Linked DNA regions of Yarrowia lipolytica. The protein of the gene in region 3 purifies or fractionates together with the protein of the main gene of each other region. This does not show direct contact. Links are inferred from orthologs where the notes say so. Each region holds a gene or a part of one and is shown on either strand. Other genes may lie near its edges.

What was found.
Region 1: the proteins of YALI1_C05088g (region 3) and YALI1_B15092g purify together in Saccharomyces cerevisiae (affinity purification with mass spectrometry; 3 studies listed by BioGRID, with this or other methods). This does not show direct contact. The link is inferred for Yarrowia lipolytica from reciprocal best matches to the Saccharomyces cerevisiae genes ECM29 and PRE1.
Region 2: the proteins of YALI1_C05088g (region 3) and YALI1_F13395g purify together in Saccharomyces cerevisiae (affinity purification with mass spectrometry, with the first as the bait; 3 studies listed by BioGRID). This does not show direct contact. The link is inferred for Yarrowia lipolytica from reciprocal best matches to the Saccharomyces cerevisiae genes ECM29 and RPN2.
Region 4: the proteins of YALI1_C05088g (region 3) and YALI1_D11442g purify together in Saccharomyces cerevisiae (affinity purification with mass spectrometry; 4 studies listed by BioGRID). This does not show direct contact. The link is inferred for Yarrowia lipolytica from reciprocal best matches to the Saccharomyces cerevisiae genes ECM29 and RPN6.

What each region holds. Positions count from the first base shown.
Region 1 is NC_090771.1:1,506,968-1,513,162, reverse strand, and holds YALI1_B15092g (uncharacterized protein), read left to right. Parts: upstream 1-3,960; coding exon 3,961-4,620; downstream 4,621-6,195. Other genes in the region: YALI1_B15151g (uncharacterized protein), read left to right, coding at 1-467; YALI1_B15109g (uncharacterized protein), read right to left, coding at 750-2,189; YALI1_B15072g (uncharacterized protein), read left to right, coding at 5,918-6,195. UniProt on the Saccharomyces cerevisiae protein: Non-catalytic component of the proteasome which degrades poly-ubiquitinated proteins in the cytoplasm and in the nucleus. It is essential for the regulated turnover of proteins and for the removal of misfolded proteins.
Region 2 is NC_090775.1:1,335,754-1,343,848, reverse strand, and holds YALI1_F13395g (uncharacterized protein), read right to left. Parts: upstream 4,256-8,095; coding exon 1,439-4,255; downstream 1-1,438. Other genes in the region: YALI1_F13446g (uncharacterized protein), read left to right, coding at 1-782; YALI1_F13384g (uncharacterized protein), read left to right, coding at 5,385-5,858; YALI1_F13373g (ubiquitin-40S ribosomal protein S31 fusion protein), read right to left, coding at 6,043-6,495; YALI1_F13366g (mitochondrial 37S ribosomal protein mS37), read left to right, coding at 6,986-7,165, 7,244-7,333; YALI1_F13355g (uncharacterized protein), read left to right, coding at 7,942-8,095. UniProt on the Saccharomyces cerevisiae protein: Acts as a regulatory subunit of the 26S proteasome which is involved in the ATP-dependent degradation of ubiquitinated proteins.
Region 3 is NC_090772.1:502,527-513,163, reverse strand, and holds YALI1_C05088g (uncharacterized protein), read left to right. Parts: upstream 1-3,579; coding exon 3,580-3,891; intron 3,892-4,271; coding exon 4,272-9,059; downstream 9,060-10,637. Other genes in the region: YALI1_C05125g (uncharacterized protein), read left to right, coding at 578-2,620. UniProt on the Saccharomyces cerevisiae protein: Stabilizes the proteasome holoenzyme, probably by tethering the 20S proteolytic core particle and the 19S regulatory particle.
Region 4 is NC_090773.1:1,141,268-1,147,750, reverse strand, and holds YALI1_D11442g (uncharacterized protein), read right to left. Parts: upstream 3,483-6,483; coding exon 2,160-3,482; downstream 1-2,159. Other genes in the region: YALI1_D11479g (uncharacterized protein), read left to right, coding at 1-2,002; YALI1_D11437g (uncharacterized protein), read left to right, coding at 4,032-5,618; YALI1_D11406g (uncharacterized protein), read right to left, coding at 5,924-6,483. UniProt on the Saccharomyces cerevisiae protein: Component of the lid subcomplex of the 26S proteasome, a multiprotein complex involved in the ATP-dependent degradation of ubiquitinated proteins. In the complex, RPN6 is required for proteasome assembly.

The DNA.
Region 1 (6,195 bases), on a different chromosome or scaffold from region 3:
ATGTGGATGGCCACAACCGTCTTCATCTGCCCCATCCTCATAACCCTCTTCACTTCTTCAATCGAGGAAAGGACCCTCACGAGGAGGATGAGCTGCCCCCTGTAAGCCAGAAGGGAGTCCGTGCGGTCGAGGCCTTTGCCCGTCCGTATCCGATTGCTATTGGCGGTACTCTCGCAGCTACGAGCTATGAGCTCATCAAAAGACACTACATTTTGGAGATTGAGGCTGCTGGTTCTAACCAGGAGACCATCATTGCCATTCCTCAGTTTGTCTTCCCCACCAACTTTTTGTCGGTGACAGTTTCAACTGGATCGTGGAAGACTGCACGAAACCAGCTGTTTTGGAGCCACAACCAAGCAGGCCGTCAGAAGATTGAAATCACTGTACTAGACCACCAGCCCGAGTTTGGAGGATTTCTTGATACTTTCTATTCCAATCTGGCTGAGCCTTGTTGTGTGGTTATGTAAGTAGATGTGGTATCTATCGGTTAGCTAATATTTATTGTGTATTAAAAGAGCGGAGCAGTAGCTACAGTACCACGGGTCTGTATAAGTACGAGTACATGTGTTGGATGTACTGTATAATGGAATGAAACAGTTACAGTATGATGTACTCGCATATGTAAGCTACGATAATATACTATATGCATTTACAGTATAAACTGTTGTCTGGATGTTTGGAAGTTCTACACGTGTGGTCAAAAACACCATTAAATATATTAAACGTTCATTTTCATCATGTTTCCTTGTCTAAAACTCCATCGAACCCACGTTGGCAGCCTTGACTCGCTCAATTTCCTCCTTCAAGAGCGGTTCCACAAAGTTATCAAACACCTCGACGAAGGGCTTGAGTCGAGTCTTATCAGAAGCGTGCTTGGAAACAGTACCTTGAGCATCTCCCTCGTAATTGTTGAAGTCGTCAATAATCTCCTGCAGTTTAGGACAATCCTCTGGGGTGAACAACAACTCATGAGTGTGGCTGTCGACGTCCATGGGCACACAGACGTTGGAGGTCTTTGGGTGGATGCAAAAGGGCGATTTCAGAAGATGGCCTGTTCCTCGAGACACGGCTCCATCGAGCTTTGGCATGAAAACAGTTAGAATCACGTTTTGTTTGGCCTCGACGAGCCTCTTGGTATCCAGGTTCGCAGATACTCCCGAGGAAGCCACCTTGTCGATATCGCTCCACTTGTCTGCCGAGCTAGCAGAGTCTCCGTTCTTCTTCCATTTCTCAGCCAGGGCTCTTCTCAGCTTTTCGTCCGGAATGAACGCCAGCAGGAATTTGGAGCCCTCCTCATTGGCCCAAGGGTCCTGGGTCTGCAGGACAACCTCGTTGAATACGGTGGTGGCGATATCAAGACACCGCTGAAGATGGGGATGCAGGGGACGTCGAAGACTCGAGTTGCCGGCAGCACTCTTGTCTGTAGCGTCTCCAAATGCAGCAATGTAGGAAACAACTGTAGAACGCTGTCTGTCGTTAAGATCACGAGCCTTCTTGTCGCTGACCCACGCATGGGCTCCTCGTCGGCCCGAAAATACCCACATAATGTGTTTGTATCCGAAATCCTCCTTGAGAGCAGAGTTGACCATCTTAACGGCTACCTGCACGTATCTCCAGCACTTGTTGCAGACGGATGCTCCAGAACAACACGTTCGGAATTTGTCGTAATCGTCCATATCAATATCGAAGACGAGCTCCTTAGAGACAGGCTTAAACACGTCCTTTCGCAACTTCTTTCGGTCCTTGGGCGAATGTGAGTAGACCGCTCCGATCTCGAATCGCTCAGGAACAAGATCGTCGACTCGAGACTTGAATTCACGCTCCTCCGCGAATGAGTTGAATCGCAGATACGCACCGTTTCTCAGAGTGAAGGCAAACTCTCGATAAGCAAAGTCTCGTCCATTTCGGGGAGAGTGGTTGAGCCATCGATGAAGCGTCTTGAAGGGAAAGAAACGCGAGTAAAAGAGTCCGAGGCCCTCAAAATCAACCTCGGGGGCGCTAACCGAAGTCTCGGGTTGTCGCGTCTCTGGAATCTCAGGAAGAGGCTCCTCAATTTGTTCCATGACATCGTTCATGATAGCATCATACAGCCCCTGCTGTGGAAGTCGTGGAGAAGATGAAGGTGGCACAGTGATGTCAGTTGGGGGCTCCGCGGTCGATACGGGCGAAGAGGGCTCGGATACTGTCATTTGAGCTGTAGTATATGTTGCGTGGGGTAGGTGTGCCGATTTGAGATGTCAACTGTAGAGGACAAAAAAAATGAAGGTGCAGTACGATGCTAAACGCGTCTCTCCAAGTTGGGAATCAATTTAACTCCACGCGTTGCGAAAGACGTGATTAGAGTTGGGGGGTATTATAAATGACAAATAAGACATGGGGAGATATCCATCATACTGTACATTGAGGATCAAAAAGATATTGCTGATATATACATATACTACTTACTAAAACGGTTATATTTATTATAAAGCTACCGTTGTCTGTAAAAGATGGACTTTTCCAAGGATATTTCCTTCTATTAGGCATAGGGGACTGCGACGAGTGGATGCTGGCTGAGAGTGATCGCATGAAAACAATACTGTGAATGTTCCACTGAGACTAAATGAGAGGGATGCAGGTTTGGTTAATTGCCAGTCCTATTTGTACGGTAAGATGCTTGACTGTTCTCTTCCCTACTGTGTCTATATCTGTGAGGTTCATCCAATCCTATATTCTCAGAGAGCCTTGCAGATGTTCACTCTGCATGAGTCTGTATGGTTTGTCAGTGTCAAGTGTTGCACTATTCTCCCTCTGATAGTGTAAGCATGAATAAAAACAATAGATGGTTACAGATAGTTGTATAATTCTATGAGTGAGCTTGCCAAAGATGCTACTTTCTTTAATAGCATCGTGTGGTTCTGTACAGTGGTCTATGTAACTCCTTGCCCTGTTCACATTGCAACTTCGACACTGGAGCTCGTTATACAACCTACAAGCTCCTCGAGCTCGTGTTGAAGGTATCACATCGATCTCTGCCACACAAATGTCTCTTACAGCGACTGTTCGGACATGACGGAGGGAATAATGAGGTAGCTATCCATGACGCATGACGCCAGCTACAGTACCCACTGTACATACGGTATCATCGGCATAACGTGAGTGATGGCATCGACAGAGATATGACGAGTGATCACTGAAATTTTCAATCCCCATCTTCGCGTCCCTTTACTCCCCGTGTAGCTTCTCGTTTTTGTTTCTCGTTTATATATCCCCTTTGACGTCAGTTGCGCGAAATATTGTTTGAATCGAGATTTGCAACAAAAGTGCCCTGTGGCTTTGAACATAGCCATACCGTACATGATTAAGACAGAAAATGAAACCAAAATACCTGTAAGCATTGAAAACCTGCCCTTTTATTTCCTTTTCCACTATTTGACCAACTGTTCAACCCCAAATAATGTTCAACTAACTCCATTCTTTAGTTATCCAATTTGTTATGAATGTAATTGGGAACAATGGAGACATTTTGTTCTCCGAAAAGTAGAACACCTCAATTAATTACAGCAGCTAGCTAAACTTGTCATTGGATGTCATTATAGACAGACAAGAAATCATTGATATGAACTAATAGGTGGACTAGTTTCACCTCAAATGTGTTATTGCAATCGCTTCAGCATAACCCCTACAATCAGCCTGGTACCACTCAAATCAGCTTACTAATCAGCACACCCAACGACAACAAAGACACACGACTCCAAGCAAGTGTCTCCATCTCAAACAACTATCGTCAATCAATCTTTTGCCCTTATCATTAATCATTGATCAGACCCGGTCATTCCATCCCATTGGACTAAGTACTGGTACCAATAGCACTTCATAACCGCCACCTGCACGTGACGCCACCTAACCTTGCCACCTTGTGTATCTGCATCACTACTGACTCTCTGAGACCCATCCAACACCACACTACACAATCACAAGATGGATATCGTTCTGGGACTGCGAATCAAGGGCGGAGTGCTGGTTGCCACTTCCAAGGCTGCCACCCGAGGTATTTCCGTCATCAAGGTCGGTGACGACAAGACCAGAGAACTCAACCCCAACACTCTGATGGCCTACACCGGAGAGGCAGGAGACACAGTCCAGTTTGCCGAGTACATCATGGCCAACACTCGACTGTACGGCATCCGACACGACATTGAGCTGTCTCCTTCTGCCGTCGCCTCCTTCACTCGAAACCAGCTGGCTAAGGCCCTGCGATCACGAAAGCCCTATCAGGTCAACGTCCTGATTGCCGGATTTGATCCCAAGACTGAAAAGCCCACCCTCAATCTCATCGATTACCTAGCCTCCAACGTGGAGTTGCCTTATGCCGCTCACGGCTACGCCGCTTATTACACAATGTCGCTACTGGACCGACACTGGAAGGAGGGTATGACCCAGGAGGAGGGAGTGGTCCTCATGAGAATGTGCATCAAGGAGCTGCAGACCCGTCTGCCCGTGGATTTCAAGGGCGTCTACGTCAAGGTCGTGGACAAGGATGGCATTCGAGACGTCTCTGCTCTGGTCTACCCCGACGAGTACCCAGAAGCTGAGGTGACTGAGGAGCTGGAGGTCCAGCAGGGAGAGATCGCTGCTTAATCAGTATTGTTGATTGAGCATAGCGGGATCAATGAGCGCATCTAAATGAATGGACGAGGTCATTGAGAAACTGGCGGTTTGTGCTGAGCATTGAGCTTCCTACAAGATCGCAATTGGTAGATTATAACTATTATATTTTTATGTTAAGACGGTAACAGCAGTAGAAACTGATGACGTGCACTATGTTACAAGTACAGGTACTGTACTGCAGTATGTGTCGGCGACAGTCTGGGCAGCTATGTATCTGTTAGTTAAGGCGTTCCAACCTCCGGAGGCCGCCGGAATTCCTTGGACATGAAGTATGGTCCATTGCATGCCTTCTGGTGTTCTTCGAGTTCCTCGCGGGTAAAAAATCTGTTATGGTGCTGGCAATAATATGGGTCAACAACGATCATGACGAGAGAAGTATGGTGTGTGGTTGCTGGTGGTTAGTAATGCTGATGATGCAGTGAACAATGATGGTGCAGTAACAACTACTGTATAGTTGTTTGTTTCCAGTTGTTCAATTGCGCATCCAAGTTCTTTGGTTATGCTAGTTGCTGTTGATTTGTGTGTCACGTTCTCCTCAGAGAGAGAGAATGCGATCTCGGTACTGACGGGGATTGCGATAGACTGGTCCAGGGCGTATATGAGGTTTGCTTGTGGCTCTGTGGTTGTAAATTTCAGCTCAGTTATTGAAATGGTGCTTTCGAGTATCGTATCGTACGTCTTACAGTCTCTTGCTATTATTATGTGCTTCCTTCTGGTGAGGCTCAAAGGGTGGTTACTGTGACTGCGTCCCAAAAGACTGAAACGGTAGTAATAACCAGGGCTGTTATAAATATATCATTAGTAGACAAAGAAGATGGGTGTGTGTCTGATCAGTCGCCTACAGCTGTGCACCGCGTCGCATCCAACAAGTATCATGAAAAGAGGGGTTGGCTGTGTATCAGCGAGAAGATGTGGGGATGACGAACTTGGTGTTTACTGTATTGTAGGTAGAGAGCAACAGCATGTGTTCTAGAGGATTCCATGGGGTTTTTCATGAGACAGATATGCGACAATGGAATTGAGTATCGTTGATGAGCCTCAGGTAATGTGTGATGTATTAATTACAGCTCTCAGTGACGACTCGTATGGAGATGAGTTCCCTTCACCCGAAGTACAAGTCTCACAATTTCACGTCATTTACTTGATTCTATACTTTAGCAATATAACTCGGTTTGGAGTGGAAGCTTATTTAAGGTTCTAGAAACATGCATGCAGTTCAACACTCTTCTTCATAATCGAAATCTACAATCAGCATACAACGACGACCATGGATGAGCTAGAGCAGCTCGAAATCATCGCCCTGGTTTCAACTCTAACCCAGGAAATCAATAATTACACCGGCATTAATGACAAGACGCTAGCTGAATTTGTTCTGGGTATGTACGAGGAATCCAAGGGAGACAGAGATGATTTTGCAACTAAACTAAAAGCTGTTGGTGGCGATTTCCCAGACTCGTTTGTGGATCGTATGCGCCAGCTTATCAGTGATCTGCATCCGAAATACAGAGGCAACTCCATGCCTGCCCCCGTCAAGGAGGAGCCCAC
Region 2 (8,095 bases), on a different chromosome or scaffold from region 3:
GACGATACCTGGCCACGGCTGGCTCCGACTCGTCCGTCAAGGTCTGGGATATCAGAAACACCTACAAGGAGGTGCTGCGTCTGCCCCGAACCAAGGTGGCGCCCCAGACGGTTAACTGGTCTGACTCCAACCTGCTTTCTGTGGGCCACGGAAACACCATCACCGTGTGGAAGGACGTGCAATCTGCTCCTCGACCCAAGCAGCCCTATATGCAACACAACATGCATCCCGACTGGAAGGTGAGCAGCGCGCAGTTTGTGCCGTTTGAAGACATCCTTGGAGTAGGCCACTCCGAGGGCTTCTCTTCACTCATCATTCCCGGAGCCGGAGAGGCCAACTTTGACGCTCTGGAAGTCAACCCTTACCAGACGCGACACCAGCGACGAGAGGAGGAGGTGCGAACACTGCTGCAGAAGCTCCAGCCCGAGATGATCACCATGGATCCCGAAGACATTGGACGAATCGCCATGGACAAGGACCGGCGACGAAAGACGGCCCGAGAGCAGATGGAGGAGATCACGGAGCCCAACAAGAAGCGGGCACAAGAGTCGGACGACGACATGCCCGAGCTGCAACCCCATCTGGCCGACGAGGAGACGGCCGTCAGCAAGGAGCTGCAAAAGAAGAAAAAGAAGGGTGTGGTGGACGAGCGGCAGATGCGACTGGAGCAGCTTCAGGAGCGAGAGCGACGAATGCGAGAGAACAAAAAGCGACGACTGGAGGAGGGATATGTGGAGGAGTACGTGTCTCCTGCTATCTCCAGATTTCAGCAGAGACAATAGATAATTTATGCATATTGAACGAGCAAAAGTACAAGGCAAGTAATAGCAGACCGGCTGCTGACAGATGGAGTGGCCAAGTGAATCTGTACGCGTAGATGTAGTAAAAGAGCTACTGCTTATCGGTCCATCTCTTGTACCCAGGCATGGGAACACGAGTAAATACTGTACTGCGTCTCTTCAGATATTCTTTACTAGTGAAAGACCAACAGCGACTGGCTCGTTTCGAAAGTAGTCTCTTGATTACATGCTGTCTGTACTTTTACCGGTATGTGCGAACAGATTCATATGAATCGAACATGAGATAACGAGCCACCGAGCCACTCCTTTTCAGGCAGCTGATACTTAGGGTCTTGCTGCTGACTCGTTTATGAGTTGGCCCAGTGTAGTCATGTTTACGTTGGATCTAGCTGAAGAGAAGTGCCGTCGATATCATGGACCAGTGGCAACACATTACAATAGAAGGGACTTCGTTCAATCCCGCTTTTCTCGTCGTCTAGTTTTCAACTCCATGTTCTATTGCACCTTCCATTGCAAGCTGTTCTTTATATATTGGTTACAACTGCACAACAACAGTGTACACGCCCAGTCATTTGTGCGCTCCATCTACAGGCACTCTACGCCCTTGCTCGGTTCTCCAACAATCATTACCAATATGCTTACTCGGTCTCCTCGACGTACTTGAAAGGCTCGGGCAGAGGAGCCTCGTCGTCCTCATCATCAAAAGGATTGTTGATCTGTCGGACCGTCTTGATGAACTGAGGCTTCTTGCCGCCCTTGCCCTTCTCCTGGTCTCTCAGAACCACAACTCCACCAACAGAATGCAACTTTCGAATGGGCACAAACCGGTTCTCCTCAGGAAACGAAATATACTTGAGCTGGGAAGGCAGCACTCGTGTTAAGTTGGCAAGACGCCACTTCTTCTGACCGGGGATTCGCTTATCAGCGTCCTCGTCCACCTTGGCCTCCTTGGCAGGCTTTGAAGATGCTGCAGCGGCGGAGGAGGGCTCCTCGGGCTTCTCCTCAACTTCCATCTTGTCAGCCTTATCCTTCTCGTTCTTCTTGGCCCGAGCCTTGGCACGAGCTGTGGTAGAGAGAACGGCGGTGGCAACCTTTTCGGGAGCCTTGTCAACCACCTCCTCGGCAGGAGGAGGGTAGCCAAAGTAGGAGGGCTTGTGAGAGGTGACAAAGTCAAACTGGGGGATCTTGAGGTCCTCGTTGACTCCGGTGACAGCAGTGGTGCTGAATGACAGAGACAGGAAGTGGGTGTAGGGGAACCAGTACCAGAACTGCGAGAAGACAACCAGACCGACAATGGCCTTCATGTTAAGAGACCCAGTCTGGGGGTTCTCAAGAGCAATGGTCACATTTCGACCTCCGGCATCAATGATACCCTGAGCTAGAGCAGCACCAAACTTGACCATGGGGTCCTCGTGCTTGGAGGCAATGGCATGAGCAAAGGTCTCCCGGGCAGTCTTGACTCGAGGACTCATCTTCTCATTCTGCTGGATGAGGATCATGGCGAGAGCCACAAGAGCACCCTGTCGCACAAAGTCTGCGGGGTCCTTAGTCAGAGGCTCAAGCACCTCCACCGCCTCCTTGAGACCTGTGCCTGCACACGAAATACCGAGGGCCAGGGCAGTTCCGTACCGCACGTGGGGGTTGTGCGACTCGGACAGCAGCTCGACCATTCGGGGGACGGCAGTGTAGTTACGCAGAAGGATGAAACCCAGCGAAATGACAGCTGCTCGTCGCACGTCATCAGAGGCATCAGAAACAGCAATGTGCAGCAGTCGCTGAATGGCCTTGTTGTTGCCGGTGCCGGCGTAGGCAAGAGCAATGGTGTAGGCTCCTCCGTACCGCAGAATGGGGTCCTGCTCGGCCAGCAGCTGCTCGATCATGGGCTCGGCAGACTCCTCTCGTGCGTAATTGACAAGAGCAAGGCCCAGAGCCAGACCCCGAATGATCTTCTCGTGCTGAGTCTCGTGTGCGTAAAGGAACATTTCCTTCTGGGCATCATCGTCGGCAGATCCCAGCATTACCAGACCCATGGCGAGTCCGGCAGCCTCTCCGGCCACGGCAGAGTCCGAAAACAGCACGTCTCTCAGTTTGTCGTAAAGAGAGGCCTTTCCGGAGCCCATGCCAGCCACACCGATACCCAGACAGGCACCGTGCAGCACAACATCGCCTCCGTCGTCGGATGCTGTGTCTTCAATCTGCTGCTGAAGGTAGTCGAGCACCTCGTTGCCATGGCCTGCAAAGATGAGACCAAGGGCGTACAGAGAGCCTCCCCGGGTGTAGGGTGAGCCGGAGGCAGCATTATCGCCCTGGGGCAGGTAGGGAGCGAGAATTCGTCGGCCCTGCGACAGGTTTCCCTTGTGAATGACTCCCAGAGCAGCCGTGGCCGACAACTTGGTCCAGTTGGAGGCCTTGGAGAGCCAGTCGAGGTTGGAGCGGATAAACGAGTCCTGGGCTGTGCCGGCGTGCAGAAATGCGTTGGCAAAGGTGACGGCCGAGTGGTTCATGGAGCTCTTGGGGTCAAGCGAGTTTTTGGTCCGGTTGAGCATCTGTGTGTCGGTGTTATTGTTCTGGTTAAGGAATGTGAGGTCGTAGTCGCAGGTAGGGACGCCGGAGAGGATCTTTGCGAGGGTCTCGTTGTCCTTGAACTCGGCGGCAACCTCGTTGAGCAGCTGCTGCGAGCCTGACGCCACTAGATCAAAAGCGCACTGGTACGCAATGAGGGTGGAGTCGGGGTCCTTGGAGGCCAACAGAGACTTGAAGAGCCGAGAGGCGCCTTCGCTGCTGTTGAGCTGGACGATGATCTTGCAGATGGCGTGGTAGTCGGGCTGGGGCAGACCCAGGATGACATTGTTGAGCTCCAACAGCACCTCGTCCTTGAACCGGCGCGAAGAGACGACCGTTACGACGCAGTCCAACACGTAATGCACCAGCTCCACGGTCGTTTCGGTGTCTGCGGTCTCGAGGATCTTGGTGATAATGTCCAAACGTCGGGCCTCCAGCGCCACTCCGAGAGCCAGCTTCAGGTGGCCCTGGGCGTACGATCGCTGCAGCATTTGGTCGAGCACCGTGGCGAGACGGGCGTCGGGAACAGGCGCAGACGGATCCTCGTAGTGTTGTTGCGACACCTCAATATATTCTCGGATGCACTTGCTGACAATGGTCTCGACGTAATCAGAGGAGGAATCGAAGTTGAAGAGTTTTCCAGCGGCCAAAGCAAACTTCATGGATGACTCGTAGTCGCCCAGGTTGTAGTAGATCTTGGAGGCCACGAGAGCCGCGAGCTCGGGCTTGGGGAAGTCCTTGTCTTCGTAGAGCTCTTCAATCTGGGACACGTGGTCGGAAACCTCCGCCCACAGCTGGGTGATGTTTTCATCCAGCGATTCGAGGGCATGGGTCTTGAGATCGTAGTTTGGTTCGTCGAGCAGCGCCAGAATTGGGGCTGCGGTGGTGGCCATTTTTGCGATTGGGGCGTAGATGGCGTCTGGACTTGTGGTGATGTAGTGTTGGGTGGATTACCTACACTGTAACTTTGCCACCTCACGTGACCGCTGGGGGGAGGCGAATGTGCCAGTAAGGAAAACGCAACGAAAGCTGTGGGGCTGAGATAAGTGGATATATCTATTGATTGCGGTGTTTTCATTGTTTTTTTCAATTCGGGGTCTCATTTTATTGGCCCGTTTACGAGATGGAGGGGTTCTATGATTCGTTGCCGTTGTTTAGGGCAGTGGAGTAGAGTGTTACCGCAACGATAGAAGACGGTGGATGTATTGAGGAGATGACAACTGAGGACAGGCAGAAAAAGCTGTCGGCCGATTTGATACGTCTAATTGATGCGATTTTGATAGTGGATCATTGTTTACCGAGTCTGGATGGCGTTCTACATGGACCTTGTGCTACAACTCCCCGTTGTTAATAACCTCTTTGGATTGGGTTAGGCGCGTGGTGAGATAATAAGCGATTATAAAAATAAAAAGAATTACAGTATTGAAAAAAGAAGGGGAAAGAAAAAGGGAAAAAAAGGGAAAGAAAAAAAAAGGTGGGTGAATGGAAGAGTGGAAAAATCGCAGGAAATCAGAGAAAATCACAGATAAACGGCTTAAACCAGAGTGCTCCTGCTTATTCATCAACTTTTCCCCTCAAATTGATCCATTTGTCGCCACCCGTCTTCTCGAACATTCTCTGCAGTGCCAAACAGCCATCATACCAGCATTTACCGCAAGTATATACTCCACCTAACAGCAATTACGATACTCCAGGTGGATACCACGACAATAGCCGATTGGCCTACATTAACGGATGCTAGGGCACGTGATGGCGAATAGTACAAAAGAGCCCCATGGAAAGACGAGTGCTATCACTCGCCCCTGTTCCAAGGCCTCACATCCGTTAGCACAAGCTGTCTTAAGTCCACCTAACCGGTTAGTAATACCGCAGATAAGAGATCGGCTTTAGGTAAGTTTCCGCCACCGCCACACGACCATGGCATATCGACCAGGGAGTATAATACGCGGTGAGGTCCCCGTCCACAGCCATTAACACCCACACAGAAACACCCCACACAAAACTGCAAGAGACTCGCGGACCATGACCGAAGAAACCCACAAAGTCAAGTTGTATGTGTACGATCTTTCGCACGGCATGGCCAAGTCCATGTCTCAGCAGTTTCTCGGCACCCAGGTGGACGGCATCTGGCACACTTCAATCGTCATCGACAACAAGACCGAGTGGTACTACGGAGCCGGAATCCAGTCCGCTCAACCCGGAAAGACCCACCATGGCATTCCAGACAAGGTGGTGGATCTGGGAGAGACCCATGTGCCTGAGGAGCTGATTCAGGAGTACCTCAACGAGATTCGGGGCGAATACACCCCCGACAAGTACAACTTGTTTGACCACAACTGCAACCACTTCACACAGGAGCTGTCGCAGTTTCTGACCGGCAAAGACATCCCGGTCGACATTTCGTCGCTCAGCCAAAACGTGCTCGCCACTCCCTTTGGCCAGATGTTGAGACCCATGTTGGAACAGGGCATGAGCGGAATCACCCAGCGTCAATGATGGGTTTTATTTATTGCAACGAAGATGTAGACCGAATGAAGTACGGGTACACAACTACAGACTGAGCGGTATCTCGCTCGTGAAACAGACGCTGCGGTGTTCAGCTCTACTTAGAAAATTTTTAAACAATCTACAGCGTTGATTTTTGTTCAAGAGATAAATATACTAAACTAAATCAATACATTTAGGCCTTGAGGGTGAGGTGGCATCGGCCGCAGTACTGTCGGTCCTTCATGTCAGCCATGAAGACACCGGCACCGCAGGACTCAGACTCACACTCTCGTCGAAGTCGCTCAACCTTTCCGTCATCGTCAACCTTGTAGAGGTTGAGGACAGCAAGCTTGTTCTTCTTTCGCTTGTGCTTGATCTTCTTGGGGGTGGTGTAGACCTTCTTCTTTCGCTTCTTACCACCACCTCGAAGTCGCAGGACGAGATGGAGAGTGGACTCCTTCTGGATGTTGTAGTCAGAAAGGGTTCGGCCGTCCTCGAGCTGCTTACCGGCGAAGATAAGTCGCTGCTGGTCCGGGGGAATTCCCTCCTTGTCCTGGATCTTGGACTTGACGTTGTCGATGGTGTCGGAAGACTCCACCTCGAGGGTGATAGTCTTACCGGTAAGGGTCTTGACAAAAATCTGCATTTCGGTGTCGTCTGCAAAGAAAACTGTGCTGTTGTTAGTGGTTGCTCCTTGAGGTCCTGCTCTTCAGCTTTTGCATCGCTCCACTGCGTTCGCTGCGTTCGCCACCGTGTGGTGTGTCGTTATTACTCACCGTCTTTCTAGCCGAAGTGTCTGAAGAAGAAGAAAAGGAAGAGCTGCCGTGTAAATTTATTTCCATGCAAGTTGAGTGGGACTTCTCAAATAGGAAGTTACCCGGACCGCTATAATAAAACCTTATTTGATTTATGGTCACGTGGCGAAATGAGGTGGGGGGGGGGGAAACCGAAGAAAAAAAAACGTCGGTAATCTAGCTATAGCCGTAACTGACAATGCTCCATAGACCCCGTTTATCCGCCGTATCGTATATTTCCAGATTCCTTCCATTTTTTGCTGACTAATAACCCTAACCACCAGCATCTCCAACATGCAGTAAAATTTCACTGCAACATCACCATACACAAAGTCTCGAAAAATGACCGCCCAGAAGTTGCCCAAGCTCAAGTATCTGCGTGTCAAGAACCTGCAGACCGCCGAGGCCCCCCAGGCCGTGCAGCTTCTGTCTCGACTTTTGGCGTGCTGGTCATCCAACGGTGTCAACTCCGAGGCCTGCAAGGAGATTGAACAGGAGTTCAAGATGGCTGCCTGCAAGAGTGTGAGTATGAGAGGAGAAGGGTTGGAGATGATTGAGGCGACAGGGTCGGTTTAATTTCGTTTTGCAATTCTAACTCAGGTTAAACCCGTCAAGCAGCAGGACAGTATCAACTTCCACGCCAAGCGACTTTACCCCAAGATGGTTCCCCAGGGAAAGAACCGACGATAAGCGATGTCATCCATCGCCAGCATGTACATATTTATGAATTCTCTGTGATTTACGATACTGGGAGCGAGACGGAATTGGTAATGGTTGAAGATCGGAGGTGGGATGTGTAGGGAGAGGTGATGGAGGTGTAGGGTTTCCAATGGTCTGTTTGATATGTTGACGCCTCTGGGTATTGTAGTTCTGCAATTACTTGAGTTAACCAGAGTAACCAGAAGTTGTAGAAGAACTCTCTCGATTAGTACAATGTATCATAAAGGTCCATCTCATATCTCCAGACTGTAGACACTTTGCGACCACCCATTATGGCGATACTGTTGAGACGGTGCATGTAATTCGATTCGCTGTAGACTGTTGACGCTTCTTCGTATGCTTCTGTAGACCACTCTAGACCACTCTAATGCGCCGAAGTACCATCTGCTCAGTTCCAGCACGAGGTTCCAGTGTCCAGGTCCCTGTGATAAGTCAAAGGTTTTCAGTTGCACTACGATGCTGCAGGGCTACCAATGTATAGGAACTATAGAACCAGTCGATCCCTTCTCTACAGTATGGATATTCACACAGTTGTGTTCTACATCAGAAGCTGTACCGTAGGTGTAGCATAAGCAAGTATGACAAGGTACGGTACTGTACAGTGGATACGGCACCATCAATTGTCAGTTCTGTACTGTACTAGTACTCGTACAATACTGTACCATCAAGGGTCGGTACTTTACCATCAATTGTCAGACCATAGCGACGTGAATACGTCTAGCACCCAAGAGC
Region 3 (10,637 bases):
CCTTGTCGTCTTTTTGTGTCGCTGTCGAATACTCACTTTTTGCTTATATTTTCCTCTGTGGTGTCAAGAGAGAAAGATTCTACAGGGACAAAATTTTCGGTATCAAAATGGAGAGCCAGTTGGGAGGTTGCACACGTGATTTCCCGATTGGGAAAAGACAGTCCCGACTCAAGTCAGAATTGAGTCTGTCACGTGCTGGGAGGTTAGGAAGTGGAAACTTTAATTCGAAATCCAAGAGGGTCATAATCTGTCAATAAAAATATCGGCAGGAAAATAGAGGGATCTATAAAAATAAGTGACTAATAAAATAATGTCTATGAGCTGTCTTAAGATACAATTGATTATATCCGAATATAGAAAACGCAGCGTTATCATATTTTAAAGTTTATATGAACTTTATATATGAACTTTATATATTCAATGAAGGTGACCTCGCTAGGAATCGAACACATAAGCACCCAAGTTGAGGCTGCTGAGACGAGGTTAGGGGAGGCTCGAAACAGACAGAAATAAATATTATACCAAACATACATGGAAAGTCTTATCGAGAGTCATTTGTTTTCGAATCACCACCACAATGTCCTTCCAAAACAAACGAGGAGCTCTCAATCAAATCACCAAGGACGACTTTGAGGGCGGCGAAGGATACAGTCGAGACGAGCCCGTGGAGGAGGCTCGAACAGCTGACGCCGCTACAATGTCCAAGAGAAAGGTCTTGCCCTTGCCCAAGAGACGAGGCAACGGAAGCAGTGGATCTACTCCTAAGGCTTCCAATGGCTTTTCTGGACTGTCCAGCTTCGGTTCTGGAGCTTCTCCTGCGCCCCAGATGTCGTTCTCTTCTCCTAGCACTACCGGGGGGTTTACCAATACCAACACTACCAACAATGATTCAACATCAGATACTACATTGAAGCGTATTGCAATGAACGAGAAGTTCGTGGACACTATTTTCGCCAAGGTACGGGAGAATGCCGCAGTTGATTTGTCTGATGTCGTGAGCAAGTATCTCGAGTACTCTAAGACACTTGGAGGTGACCATGCAAACGTTGCTAACAGCACTACCAGCACCACCAGCACAATTTCTGCGCCTGTTACTACAGCCACACCGACTCCTGCTTCTGCCGACAAGCCCAAATCGTCGCTTTTCTCGTTTGGAGCTACTAAGAACTTTTCCGCTGCCAACACAGACACTGAGAAAAAGGACACTACCTCCACCAGCACTTTTACATCATCACCCTCCTTCAACTTTGGAGCTGGGGCAGCCGCAAAGCCCGCAGTGTCGAAACCATTCTCTTTCGGTACATCTAGTGATACCAAGGAGGATAAGCCTGCTGTAACTACTCCCTCTTTTGGTTTCCCTAAGGCTGACACTACTAAGGAGACAGACGCCAAGGACACCACCACTGCTGCCAAGCCCTTTACATTTGGATCTTCTACTCCTTCTGGACCTTCTTTCAGTTTTAACAAGTCTGGAGCTGATGTTGCCAAAGAGAAGACTGCTCCTTCTTTTTCGTTCACAGCTAAGAAGCCCGAAGAAAAGAAGGAAGAGAAGAAGCCTGAGCCCGTTTCTGTGGACTCCGATTCCGACTCTGACGACGATGCCATTGACATCACCAAGGGCCCCAGTTTTACTTTAGCTGCACCTCCCACTACCACAAACTCTGCTTTCTCTTTCAGCAAGCCTCAGAGCGAGGTGAAGAGCACAGGTCCTTCGTTCACCTTTGATAAGAAGGTTTCCAGCGGTCCTTTCAATTTCAAGTCCGAGACCAAGACTGAGGAGAAGAAGGAGGATAAGCCGGAGGAGAAGAAGGAAGACAAGTCCGAAAACAAGAAGGACTTCACCTGGAATCCCTCTCAGGGAGTTGTTTTCGGCAGCAACAAGACCGAAGAGTCTGCCGACAAACCCGCATTTTCGTTTGGAAGTACTTCTTCGGCAAAGCCTTTTACTTTTGGCGCTAAGGCTGATGATGCTGAAGACAAGCCCAAGCCTGCTTTCTCGTTTGGATCTAAGTCCGCCGAGTCATCTGACAAGCCTGCCTTCTCATTCGGAGCCAAGCCCGCTGAGTCAGCCTCTTCGGACAAGCCTTCTTTCTCTTTCGGCACCCCTGCATTTGGTGCTAAGACTGAGTCTTCCTCTGACAAGCCTGCATTCGGTGTTTCTTCCGGTAACCTGTTCAAGGGTGATACCAAGGGGGAGACTAAGCCTGCTGCTGCTTCTTCCACCGAGTCCGGTGAACCAGATGACACCCCCAAGACCGTCACAGACTCGGATGACCTGTCAGGACAAGGACCAGGTGAGGAGAACGAAGACAATGTCGCCGAGTACCGAACCAAGCTGTACAAGCTGGATGACGGAAAGTGGGACGTGTGTGGAGTGGGTCAGCTGAGAGTGCTGGTGGACAAGGACACAAAGAAGGCCCGAATTTTGATGCGAGCAGAACAGAGTGGACGAGTGCTTCTCAACTGTGTGGTTCGAAAGGAGTTGACGTACTCGACGACAAAGTCGAACGTGAACATTGTCGATTTCGACGCGGACTCGAAGCCAATCAAGTACATGGCCCGAATTAAGACTGCTCCTGAAGCTGAGCAGTTGTCAGCTAAGATTGAGGAGGTGAAGTAAGGAGAGGGGTTGACATGAGGTGATGTAATTGAATACGTTGTAACATATCCCATGATTAGTAAATGCATGGAGGAGGGTATAGAGGGTGCTCGTGGCATACAACTGGGACCGGCACAAATAGGTGTGTCCATTCTGTATATATCTTAGTGTTTACAACATCCATTACACTTTAGTGCCCTCTCTCACTCTCTGCAAGGAGATAAGGAGTAAATCCAAGGGGGATCGTATGGAATTTCGACGAGTATCGTGATTTTCCTTCGAGTCAACAAAAATCCCAACTAAATTTAAGTGTTGTTAACAACCTAAGTAATAGATCTTCTACAGGCCACACTCAGTTCCACAATAGCAAGAGAAGAACAAGCCATTATACTCGAACAAGAATGATAGCGATTGAATCCAATGCTACTGTACGTACTGTACTCCGATAACTTCAGCCTGTCATTCTTCCATCAAATTCTTCACTACATACAACGCCAATTCATATGTTACATCCAAACTAATGGCACAACGTCGTCATACTTATAGGCGAACATAATCACATCATACTTTTAGAGAGAAGAGAACAAAATAGAAAGGCAACATGGGGATATTATGACATCAATCAACTCCTCCAGAGGAGCTGATCAAGACTATATAATTTTGATCCCTCTATTCTCTCTACAAATCCCTCTACACTCCCCCCCCTTTTTCTTCCCCTCATGTATGATCTCAACGGCAATACCATAACATAATAGCTGAGGTTACAACCAGTACGTAGCAGCTAACACCGCGACGATATAAGAGGCCACAGACACCCGAAATGAATGTTTTTTTTTTTTGCACCCCTTCAGTAACAGCACGTGCCCACACGACACCTCACGTGACCCATTTGCACCCCCTTGCACCTCGCCACCGCCACCATGCAGTCCAACCTAGATCTGCTATCGCCGATAATCTCTCTCCACTACAACCACCTCAGCATGGACGAAACACAAGAATTGCAGCTGGTCAACGCGGTGGATCTGCGGATCACAATGGCCAAAGAGGACAAACTGGGCGAGACGATCGGCGTCTATCTGGTGCCTCTGTTGACCAAGCTGGCGTCCAAAAACGTGTCAGTGCGACAAAAGGTGGTTGAAATGTGCCAGCATATCAACACGCGAATCAAGAACACGACATTCAAGTTGCCTGTCGACGCCTTGGTCAAACAGTTTGTCGAGAGTGACAGTGAACTTATCAGAAATTTCGATCTCATGTACATTGAAATGGGTATTGCCAGAATGGGTGATGATGTGAGTATTGTGGGGCGATAACTCCTTCAAAGGGTTAACAACCCGCTGCTATTTATGGGCTACAGACAGTTTGCGGACCCCATAATGATACAGACAGGTGGTGGTTCCACAACTCAATTGTGTGCCACACTGACATCAATGTCTGATCTGATATATGATACGATGGTGAAACAACAGATGTCTAGTTTAAATGTGATCTTGAAGATCCATGAAATCTAACGGAATGAATGCGTTAAAGCTAGGGTTTCCTAATACTATCCAAGCAACATGGCTTTCAGACCATGTCACTATCTGCAGCTATGATCTTTAGCAACACTTCCAGATACAACCTGCTCTTGTCTTTCATCCTCTACGGCCACTCATTACCGTTACTAACCCAGAAATCTACCCTCATCATTCCCCTTATCTCCTCAATTTCCACCCTCTCCTACAACCACTCCAAAGCGGTCTTCCGCATCCTACTTAAACTCCTCCCCTTCATGACCTACCCTCCCCGAGGATCCACTGAAGCAGACAAGTTTCGTGAAACCCTTGACGTCAACGACAACGACATTGCGTACCTCGCTCTTCGCTTCACAGACGTGTTCAATTTCTCTGCCACCAAGAGAACCGGAATGACCATCAGAGAATACGAGTTTCTGTCAGCCGAAGAATGCACCACTGCCGTCAAGAGTCACCTGCTCAAATTCATTAGTGCGTTGTTTACAGACACAGAGTCGTACATTCCTCTGTTGTGTGCGTCTACAGACGGCAGTTCAGCCATTGGAGAGCCAGCTAACGACGCCTGGAAGAAACTCCAGGTAGATTTGGAGTCCGAGATGCTTACTAACCAGCTCTATCAGCTTCTCCTCGGGTACAATGGATCTTCCCCTGTGAAGCAAACGACTCAGGCAAAGATTCTCGCGGCTCTGTGTCATTCGGTGCATGCTGCCAACGTCGATGACGCCTTCAGAGCCATCCAGTACTTCACCCAGACTGATTTCTACTCTCGAGCTGCAATCATCCAGTTTGTTAATTGGATTGTGAAGCATTCCAATGAAGAGCTGTTTTTGCGCCACTCTGGAGACCTTCTCGAGCGTGTTACTCACCTTGGAAACGATGCCAAGACCGCCGAGTCAGCACAGGAGCTCATGGGCGGTATCCTGCGTCGAGACTCTCGTCTGCTGAGTAACATTTCTCACGTGACGTTCCTATTTGACCGGAAAGCAGGTGACTCTTTGTCAGAGCTCATCAATCCGCTGGCAAAGTACCCCGAGACAGCTGAGAAACTGATTCCCCACCTGTCTCGGTACATCAGCCACCAGGCGACTCAATTTATGGCTGCTAAGTACGCAACTCGAGTCTTCCCCTATTCAAGCGCTCATGCGCGCTTCCTTTGTCTTGTTGGCCTTACTTTTGGCCGGACAGACATGCTTGAGGAGTGTAATCGGGGACTGAACCCTTACTGGATGCGAGCTGTTAATGTTCCATACATCACCAGCCATGATTCGCTCGACGTGATCAAGGGAACTTCGGATTCGGACATTTTCCAGTTTCCCGATGTGTTTGAGTTATGTAAACTGATCCACGAGTCGAAATTTGATCTCAAAAAGGCCGCAGAGTGGATGTTTCCCTACCTGGTTCGGTTAACTGTGGCTACAGCTATCCAGGGTCATGACACTGTTTGTGTGGTTGATGAACAGTGGGAAACACGTGTGGATGAAGCTCTGAAGAGTGATGATCACGTGAGAAAGCTCGTTATTGAGTATCTGAGCAAGACCGACATTTCTCCTATTCTAGATATCATTTCCACTCATCAGACCTTCTCCACTCTTCCTGAAGTGTCACTGGAGCTCTACTATTCCCTGGTTTCTCTGTCTACCAAGTCATACAATGTCTTTGATGCCAACAACAGCGTGGTTCAGCTTGCTCTGACCTCTCCCTACTACAAGATTCAGTCCCACGCTGCTCGTGTGATTGGCCTGGAGCAGAGCGAAGAGGTGGCTCATAATCTAATTGCTCAGTGTTTCAACCACGTGCCAAAGAACGTTGATGGACCCATTCTCGTTTTTTCCAACCTGGTTTCTTTCCTGTCTGAGTCAGACATCTCCTCCGCGCTGGAGATTTGTTCCACTCATATCGATATGGAGTCCGTTCAGACTTTCTTGAGTGAGATGAAACTGCACAGAATCTCTCTCGACAACTGGAGCCGTCTCGATGATGTCAAAAAGAAGACTCTGGTCAAGCCCACCGAGCATTCTGTGCTTGCATTTGCTTATCTCAACTTGGACAGTCCTGATTTTGAGTCCAATGTTGATAAGATCTTTGCCATTGAGTCAAAGCAGATGGATTTTGCCTTCTTCACCGGTGAGGCACTTTGTGTGCTTGCTGCTGGGTGGGAGACTAAGTTCGTCAAGCGAAAGATGTGGAAGATTGCAGATAAGCTGCCTGTGAGTTCCCTGGCAGAGGAGCGAGTGAGCCAGCTGACTACCAGACTGATCAACATGGCAAAGACGGTGACCAAGCCTTCTCTGCGGAAGAGTACCGCCATATGGCTTCTTTCTGTGGTCCAGTACTGTGGTCATATGATCCATGCCCTTCTTCCTCAGTTGCAGCTTGCTTTCATGCGATTTTTGCCTGAAAAAGACGACATTGTCCAGGAGGCTGCTTCCCGAGGATTGTCTCTTGTTTTCGAGCAGGGAGACTCTCGATTGCAGAAGGATCTGGTTGAGAATCTTGTCTCCTCATTCGTCACCGATAAGTCGTCTCACAACCAAAAGGTGCATCAAGAAACCGAACTTTTCGAGCCTGGAGTTCTCAATACCAACGACGGATCGATTTCCACTTACAAGGATATTCTTTCGCTTGCTTCTGAAGTCGGAGATCCCTCTCTCGTGTACCGATTCATGTCTCTGGCTAATCACGCGTCTCTCTGGTCCTCCAGAAAGGGCATTGCGTTTGGTCTGGGTAACATCTTTGCCAAGGCTTCGCTCGAACAGCAGCTGGCCGACAACCCTGCTCTTGGAAACACTCTCATTCCCAAATTGTACCGGTACAAGTTTGATCCTAGTACTGGACAAGTCATGGCCAACATTTGGAAGATGTTGATTGGCGAGTCTTCCACTAAGACGGTGAATTCCCATTTCGAGAGCATCCTCAAGGAGCTGCTCTCTTCCATTTCTTCCAAGGAGTGGCGAGTTCGACAGGCTTCTTCGGCTGCTCTTTTGGACCTACTTCAGGGTAGACCCATCTCTCAGTATCTCGATCATTTGTCCGAAATATGGACAGCTTGTTTCCGAGTCGTTGACGATATCAAAGAGAGTGTTAGAACTGCCGGTCTTGGTCTCACACGTGGCCTGACTACTGCTCTTGTTCGGTCTCTGGAAAGTGACTCCATTTCAGACGCTACTGCAAAGCAGGTGCTGGACCAGATTATTCCTTTCCTGCTCGGAAACTCCGGTCTGCAATCGTCAGCTGAAGAGGTCCAGCATTTCTCTCTGGATGTGTTGCTTCAGCTGATCAAGAAGGGCGGTTCTAGACTGAAGCCTTTTATTCCAGATCTTCTCTCCGAGTTTGTAGAGTTGTTATCCACCCTCGAACCGCAGGCAATGAACTACATTGCTCTAAACGCCGACAAATATGGAACGACTGCCAACGACATTGACTCGTCGCGCCTGGCTGCTGTGCGTCACTCCCCCATGATGGACTCCATTGAGGAGATTATCGACCTCTGTGACGCCGATCTGATGAAGAAGATTGTTCCTAAGCTGACTCTGTCAATAAGAAAATCGGTTGGGTTGCCCTCCAAGGTTGCTGGTTCGCGAATCATTGTTACCTTGACTATTAGAAAGACCCAGCTGTTCAAACCCTACGCTGGTCCACTTCTCGTCAAGTCAGCCATTCCCAGCATTTACGATCGAAACGAGACTGTGTCCAGATCGTACCTTGCTGCCTGTGGCTACCTGTGTCGTTTGGCGGACGACGAATCCGTTCTGAGCTACATTACTGAGTTGCAGAACCTGTACTTTGGAGAAATCCAAAAAGGTACTCTTGAACGAGCTCGAATCTCAGCTGCTATTGGAGTGAAGGAGATCGCTGCTCATGCCGCTGACAAGTTTGACTCGTTGTCAGCCTCCTTGTTGCCCCTCATATTTGTAGGCAAACACGATTCAGATCCTGCTGTCCAGGATGTGTTTACCAACATTTGGAATAACAACACTGGAGGCAAAGGGGCCATTTCTCTGCACATTAAGGAGATTATCGCTCTGGTTTCGCCCCATTTGTCTTCTCAGCAGTGGAACATCAAACAGATTGCTGCTACTTCCATTGCAGATGCTTGCAATTCTGTGGGTAAAAACGTTCTGAATGATGAGCTCTTCGAGGTGATGATCTCTGCTTGCCAGGGTAAGAGCTGGACTGGGAAAGAGGCTGTGTTTGACGCTCTTGTCTCTCTGGCCATCAAGTTCAACCTCCACGATGCCGTTGTTGATAAGGTGGTGACCACTGAAATCAAGCGAAAGAACCGAGAGTACCAGATTCTTGCGCTCAAGTCTGCGTCTAGGTATCTCGGCCACTTCCCATCGAAGCAGCTGTTTGATATTTTCTCTGACATTTGTTCTCTTTACCTCCTCTCCAAGTCGGACTTAGAAGACGTGGATATGGATTCTGATGATGAGGAGGAGCTCCTTAAATCCCAGAGTGAGGACAGAAGAAACGCCATTCTGGGCACTGCTATCAGAGCTCTGTCGATTGAGAGCACCGACGAGGACGTTTCTTTCCTGTCATCCTACTTTTCTCAGGTTTCCGAGTGGATCCAGCTTGCTTTGACTCCTCCCAAGAATCTGAACAAGCTGGCCACTAAGAAGTCTGTAGATCCTACATGGAAGACAAAGTTGTGTATTTCGCAGGCTCTGTATTCCGTTGTTATTGGTTTCTTCGGCCAGGAGAAGCCTGCTGGGTTTGAGAAGCAGTTCCTGGAGATTTGGACCCTGGTTGCTGATACTTGTTTGCTGACTACTAATTTGGACAAAACCAAGGTGGAGGTGTGTAAACTTGGGCAGGCTGTTTTGAACTCGAAGATGAGTGATGCAAGTAAGGAGAAGGTGAGAGAGGTGCTGGTATTGGCGGAGGAGCATGAGCAGTCGTTGATTGTCAAGGCTGAGCTCGGGAGAGTTCTGAAGAGCATCTGAACGAGGAAATCCGACCCTGTTGGTGATGTCAAATTAAATTGATTGCATCAGATGTATTATGATTAGATAGAATAAATTGATTAGATGTATTTTTCATTATTTTGTAATTACATAATACTGTATATTGTATGTATTCCACCTATTCGTTTAGTTAGTATTTAGTTGACATTTAATTAATTCTAATTAGTTAAGGTTACAATTATGGTGGGGATTTAGTTGGGATGATGGTTGAGATGAGGGAAGCAGAATGGTCTGCTCTAGACAGCCTCCCTCGCCGCTAGAACTGACATATAGATTTCTGGTGCATTATGTAACCGATAGAGAAATTCCAGGTTCTCCTCCATGTCTTCAATGCTCAACCACACTTAGTTTGCCACTCCGCGGTCATGCCGAGGTATGTTAAATGTTACATGAGTATGTCCGCTGTGTAAAGGGTAAAGGGTATAACCCCGCTGTTCTGTCCTACTGCATTCTCAACATGTTTCCCAACAGTTCCTTGGTATCCACTCTTGACCCGGTCTATGACTATTGTAGCTAGTGTGAGATAAAGGACTAGCCCTGTCTATTAGTTCCTACTAATGGCTATTCCGAGCTTACTGCATGTACTGTAGTAGAAATATAGGTCAAGTGCGAATGACGTAATTTTCGTTAGTGACACTGAATTTGATCATCAGAGTGTTTTCTGTCATTATCATTTCAGCGTGGCAAATTCATCTACATCTACCATTTCTCCCCCTATTTAATCCATTTTATACCGCAAAAATGCGTGCCCTAGCTTTTATCAACGCATCTACCCCACCTTATCACGTGGCGCACGAGGTGCATAATCGTGCAGAGCAAAGATGACGTCAACCGAGGGGGATGAGTGAGTAACGTGGGGCAGGGCATGTGGACGTGGACAGGGAGACATGTGACCAGCCCCCTGAATACGGAGGGGTTGTGTGTGTGTGGCGTGACTTTATGAGCAATTATGTCTCCCCACGTGATCCAGAACACGTGACCGGAGCGCCGTGGCTGCCTTTTCGTCCCGTTGTGGCGGTATTTAGTTCAATCTCTGATTGCTTTCTGGTATGGACATTTCCCGGGAGCTAATAAAGTAAGGGTCATTTGATGTCATCTTTGCGTGTCCCTTTTAGGCACTCTTTGGCCGTGCAAATGTTGTTAAATGGGAACCATGATTGGTGCTTATTTCCCGCAGTCATGTGGCAAACGGCGGTCCAAGGGCGGGCCACAGAGGGGTGTTGGCGTGGCTGGAGGCATTTGTGCGGACAATGTTATATATAGAGGGTTTCTCCCTCCCCATTTTCTCTATCCGGTCTATATTTTTATCCCTCATACCTCAATCATTGCGGTGTGATTGTTTTGGTCTTCCCCAGCTATCTTAAAGTTAAATGCGTTGATAAGGCTTGTTGTGAGATAACGTGCATACGCGTCACACACATCCATAAATAAATCTTGCTACGCGACTTTGACAACTTGTACACTTGTACACTTGTACACGACTCCCCCCAAACAAGACACCACACGCTTCCAAACACACGCTCCCAACCAGCCACTAGCCACCATCCCACCTAGTCA
Region 4 (6,483 bases), on a different chromosome or scaffold from region 3:
CAACGACGACAAGATGGACGTGGAGGGAGACAGTACCACTACCGATGTATTCCCCTTCTCTTCAGACGCCAGTGTGCTTCAACAGTACAAACAGACCCATCTTCGTGTGATGGAGACGTTTCTGGTCAACCGGTGGCTGCAAGACAACCTGACGCCGTCGGACCACGAGAATATTGAGATCTGGGGCTCCAAGTGGATGCACACCAAGAGCGACATTGCTTCCAAAAAACGACTTGGGGGAGGATCTGTGGGCAACACCAGCACCCTGGTTTCGGAGATGGACGCCGATGCCCCCCTTCGACAAAAGAAACCAATTGCAGGAGAAGACGCCGGATACGACAGCAAGCTCTTCCGGGCCATTTTTGATCTCATCCGAAGACGACAGATCAAGGAGGCCAGTCAACTGGCTGAGAAGACCGGAAACTTGTCGCTCAAGATGGCCATTGGCGGACTTGCAGCCATGGAGGACACTGATGTCGATCCTCTGGACGACGCCAAGGCTGTGGGAACCACACGAACCGCATTATGGCGACGAATGTGTCTCAGTGTAGCTGCGTCGCCTATCGGAGACTACGAGAAGGCCGTGTACGGCTTCCTGGGAGGAGATGTAGGCACGGTTCTGGAGGTCAGCGACAGCTGGGAGACACAACTGCTGGCGTACACTAACAACATGTGCAGCGATCAATTTGAGCAGGCCTTGAATGATGCTCACCGAGTGTCTTCTAAGACTAAGGCTCTGATCCCACTCGTGTGTCCTGGTCACGTGTCTTCCATGCAGGACGCTCTGGAACTGCTGGCCGAGTCTTCTAACATTGACGTCAAGAGACAGGCCATGAACCCCATCCGAACCTTTGTGGGAGCGGTCATCAACAACACAATTGAGACCATTGCGTCCACCTCCTCTGACGCATTAAGAGTTGCTGCTAGCACGGGCCAGCCCAATGCTGTTTCCGAGTCTTCCATCATTCTACGTGTTCTTGTGCATCTTCTACTTGCTCTTCGCCATGGATATGGAGGCCAGAAAGAACTGGATATCAGCCATTACAACATCATCTCTGCCTACGTTGAACGGCTGGCTGGAGAGGGACACATGGAATTGGTTCCTCTCTATGTTTCTTTCCTAGACTCGGAAGATGTCACTGACCAATACTCTTACTACCTGGCCAACATCTCCGACCCCTCTGAACGAGAGCAGCAGATACACCTGGCTAACCAATACGGAGTTGACATCAAGGCATGTGTCAAGGCTGCTGTTGCGCGTGTCTTTGATGAAAGCATGTCCCAGTACGTCATTCCTGACATCATTGCTGTGAAGTTCGACAACCAGGTCGAAGACACCGATGTGCGCCTCTACCGGGCTGTGGAGTGGTTTGAAGACGTCAAAATGTGGTCTGAGACCATCGATGCCTCTGTCAAGCTTCTCAGACGGTTCTTGCTTTGTGGAAAGGTCGGAGCTGCCCGAGAAGCTGGTATGCGTCTCAATGTGCCCATGCTGATGCAGCAATACCAGGCAGACACTCTGGGAGCCGATGGTAACGAGCTCGACGAGCTTGTCGCTCGGGAACTCGAGCAGCTCTACGATCTCATTCTCTTCCTGGACGCCGTGCACAGCTGGGAAGAGCTCATGAACTCCCCCAGAACCCATGAGAATAACACCCAGATTGCCCATAAGGTAACCGAGATTGCACGGCAGTCCGACAAGCTGATCCACGATTGGCTCATTGAACTCCTGCAACAATACACAGAGAACCAAGAGATCAGGCCACAGGACTACACCCACCTGTCTCATCTCAGACAGATCTACATCCCCTATGTCATTCTTCAGCTACTGTCTGTCTATGTCAGATCGCGGCACATTGACCCTCGATTTGTTACCGACGCCATCGAACTGTCTGTTCTTGTTGCCGACGACCAGCAACAAATCTACCGGGACTTTGTCGACTCCGGACGGCTGGAAGAGTTCCTCCAGTGCATTTTCCAGGCTTCTGCTCTGATGAATTAGTCTGGTGACTGAAATAGATGTTTGCATAATTAATCATAACTACAATATTAGACCTCACTATTAGTATTAAAATACTCCAGTCTGTACTTCCAGTCTTATTCCTACTAGTAATAACACCCTCTCATCTTCATCATTTCATTAAGCTACTTTACATTGCTTAGTTGAGAGAAGAGGCCTTCTCGTACAGCAAATCGACCACGGTGGACATGTGTTTGACGGTCTCCAGAGCCGAATCGTAAGTCTTATCTGTCTGAGGCTCATCATAGATGAATAGCCAGCCGTTGCCCTGGTCCAACACTCCCTTGATGCCCTTATCCAAAATCATCTGAGACAGCTTGCCCTCCACCTGTCGGGTGTCGAGGCCAATGATCTCAGCAATGTGGTTGATTTCGACACAGCTGAAGGGCTCAATCACCTTGAGCAGATTCTGCTCCAGCAGCGAGTCGTACAGGTCGTTGAAGTGCACTCTGATGACGGGGTCGGCCTGGACCTCCTCCTTGTATAGTTCCAGCACGTGCTCAAACTCCTTGAGCGATCGGTTGGCATAGGCCACTGCCACCGCCTTCATAACGTCCACGTCTCGACCCTGGTACGCCTGTGCGGATTTATTGTTGAGAATGGTCTCCACGTCATCGGCCAGGTTCAACATGATCTTGCACAGTAGCATGTACTTGAGTACAGTGCCAGCCTTGGGGTTTTCCTGGCCCACGTAGCCCTCGAATGCCTCGTAGAAATAACTGAATGCTGTCTTATAGTCCTTGTCGTCTGCCTGCAGGATACCAGACATGGTGTCTAGAGCAGCCTGGGTGAGAGGAGGGCAGTAGACGGCGTTGGCGGAGGTTCGTGCAGAGGTGAGAGAGGCTCGGCTCTTGGGGATGTTTCTGAGAGCGTGGTACGCCTTGGCCTCCAGCAATTGCACCTCCACAAGCACCATCTTGTCATCGAGCTTCTTGAGCTCCTTGAGCAGGGTATTGATGAGGTTGAGCGCATCGTAGTACGTCTTCTTCTCCAGGAACAGCGACACCAGCCGGGTCTGCAGGCTTTGTCGCAGAAAGTTTCGTTTCTCCGAAACGGCCCATTCGATACATTTTTGTGTGGTGGCAATCTGCAGGTCGATACAGTCAGACGGCACTTTGGCGAAAAGATCAATGAGGTTTCTGATGATTTTGGCGGTTTTGGACTTGGCAAAGCCGCTCATTACCGTCAGACTAGTATGGATGAGGTCTGCGAGGTCCTGGGGCTTGTTGTTGGAGGCGTAGAGAGTGCCGAGATTGATGAGAGCCGACTCTTGGATCTGGATCGATTTCTCGTTGGTTCCAGCCTTCTGATCGAGAATCTCCCGGTACAATTTCTCGGCCTCCACGAGGTTGCCCTTGTCTCCGGCGGTCTTGGCGCTTGCCAGCGTTTCTTCTAGAGTCATTGTGTCGTTTGAGAGTGTGAGATGTGTCTGGACCAGATGTCGTATGTGGTGGCGGTACATTGACAGCTAAGGTTTGGGAGGTTGTCGCTTAATAAGCAAGACCCTTTGAATGTGGTGAGTGGCGGGGGAACAAGATTATATATAGGGGTCCTGGGGTCCGGTTTTTATGGGGTCTGGTTTACTACTTCTCCTGATGAGAACAAAACTTGTTTTTGTCTTCGCCGGCATTCTAGATACAGCATATGGCTTGGGTCTTGTTTTGACCATAACAGAAGAGGTTATGGATACACACACAGCGATGGTTCAGACACTCCAGGAGGGGTGATTGAGCGGATCGGAAGAGTGATTGAGTCTGCCAATCGCCCTCCTATCTCGCAAGGATTAATTCCGTATCTTTTTCGGTCACGATATGTGCCACAATCAACCTCGTTGCTACTCGTTGCTACTTCCCACTCACCCACCTACAGCACGACCTGGCAGTCAAGACCCTACTTCCCAACTCAAACTGTGTCCCAACCCTGTGAGTGCCTGTGACAAGCACATTGTTCACAACAACATTTATTTGCAAACAAACACAGGCAGAAAAAAAACACGAAACCGCACCACAGCATGTTTGGACAAGCCGCCAAGCGTCAGTTTAATGGGTTCGACTCGCAGTCGTCGTCCACCGGCGGATTCGGCACCTCGTCGACGTCTGGAGGCTTCGGAGCGTCCACTGGAGGCCCCTTTGGCACCTCTTCTACGACCCAGACCCAGGCCCAGCCCTCGTTTGGCCAACAGTCGACCTTTGGCACGTCCACCATTAACGGTAACACGTCGTTTGGTTCCCTGGGCAATGCGTCGCTCAACCAGTCCCAGTCCTCCTTCTTCAACAGCGACGTTCTGTCCACTCCAACTTCCGCCAACAACAACGGAGGGGCCCCCTCGTACAGCCTGTCGCACTCGCAATCGGCCTACGATCTACGAGGAGCATCCAACGGCAACAGCTATGGTGCCGGTAACCAGCAAATGAGAGAACACAGTGCCCCGCTGACTCCAGGCTTCCGATCGTCTCGAGGTGCTCCTTCCTGGACCTCCAACGACCGACGATTCGTGCCCTCCCATCTCTCGGCCATCAAGCAGAAGTCATCCTTTTACGCCGGCGATCGTACCCCCGAACGATCTGCCAGCTTCACTAGAAGAGCGTCTACTTCCCCTACAATGAAGTCGTCGCTTGCCAAGGCAGGAGAATCCCCTCCTTCGGGCGTCGGAGGCTCGTCCTTCGGCACCCCCAAGCCCTCCGGAACCAAGAAACAGACTCATACCATCACCGAGGAGGAGCTACCACCCACACAGTCCATCTACGACTCGCGAGGATCGCCCTTTAGTGCTGCTCGACGAGGTAACTCGGCTGGATCGGGGATGCGTCGTTCGGAGACTTTCAGCAGTAACCCAACAGCCGCTCGAAAGACTCTGCGAGCCACTGCCTCCTTTAACCATGCTAACACCCCCCGGAAACTGGCGATGGGCAGCGATGGCAACCTGTCCGTCGTTGTCTACGGGTTCCCCCAGCATCTCACGCCGTCCATCGTGTCGCACTTTAACAACTTTGGCGAGATCATGGAGAACGTAGAGCCCAGCGACGCCTCGTTCGGTCTGTCTACCACCCCAGTCAAGCGGCCTCCTCCCGGAAACAGACCTCCTGTTTTTGCTGGCCGAAATTGGATCAAAATCACCTATGACAACAAGGCGTCTGTGATCCGAGCGCTGGCCGAAGACGGCACCCAGTTTGCCGGCCAGTACGTAATTGGCTGCAAGCCGTACACGCCATCGCAGATGCGCGACTTTGACGCCATTTCGGCCTCTATGTTGGACTCGCACGACGCCAGCATGATGGACTCAGACTACCAAGACTCGCCCATCAAGTCCAAGTTCCCCCAGACTCAGCAGCAGAACACTAGCCTCTACCCCAACCCTTCAGCATCTGCATCTGTTTCTTCTTCGGAGCGAAGTCTGCCTCGGACCACATCGCTGCCTGCTCTCAACGGCGCCAAGCGGCTGGAGATTCGAGACGGAACCAACACCGTGTTCAAGCAGCCCTCCTCCAAGACCATCACCAACCCCAAAGTCAAGAAAACGGGTCTCGCTGAGAAGACGGGCTGGTTGTCCTGGACCGCCAAGCGGGCCGAAGAGCTCATTTTCGGATACGAGGTTTAAGAGGTTGTGCGAGGACTAGTACATGCGACTGCGAGAGCTCTATACTTGTAGTACTTTAGGATAGAGAGAGATACCGAGTAGGAATGATTATATTTAGGTATATAATTAGGTAGCATCTATAATTAATAGAACATGTAAGATATCATTTCAGCGTATGGCGAGATCCTGGCCGCCCACGAGTCTTTGACTGTGCAGTACGAACACTTCAACTGCACGTCAGCGCTCACTATAGGGCGGCGATATTCATTATGAAGGAATGCATTAATTAAATATATACTGGTAGTTGGGCCGTATTTATACGTCCACTACTGCTTTCTCCTCCAAGGACGGCCAACAGGAGATCCAGACAATGTGGTATGGTTGGGCACACTGGGTCCGGTGTTGCCGAAGCTGGACGGGGTGTATCCTGAAGAGCCTCGTCGGTCATCCATCAGTCTGTGGGAGAAATGGCGAAGTCCGTCACCCGCTTGGGCACCTGCTCCGGGGAGCTGTCCGGAAGTAGGCACGAACGTCCGTCGACGAGTCGGGGTGTCCAGTTTGACAGGGGTAGGAGGCTTGCTGGGTGCCATGCCGGCCTCTCTGTAAACAGACTTGTTATCCAGCGCAGCGTCGTAGAACTCACAAGATCCGTCAGCTCCAACAGCAGCGTCTTGCTTGATCACTCCAAGTAGAGGATGCACGACTTTCTTGTCAAACTCGCCGAGCACCTCGCCCGAGATGATGTTCTTGTCCTTGACGTAGACCAGGAACATGTGGCTCATGGCATACAGAGCGAAAGAAAAGGCGGGCAGAGTAATGAAGACCTGGACGAAGCTTAGCGGACCGAACCACAGAGCAATGACATGTATAGGCGAGAAGAGCGCAA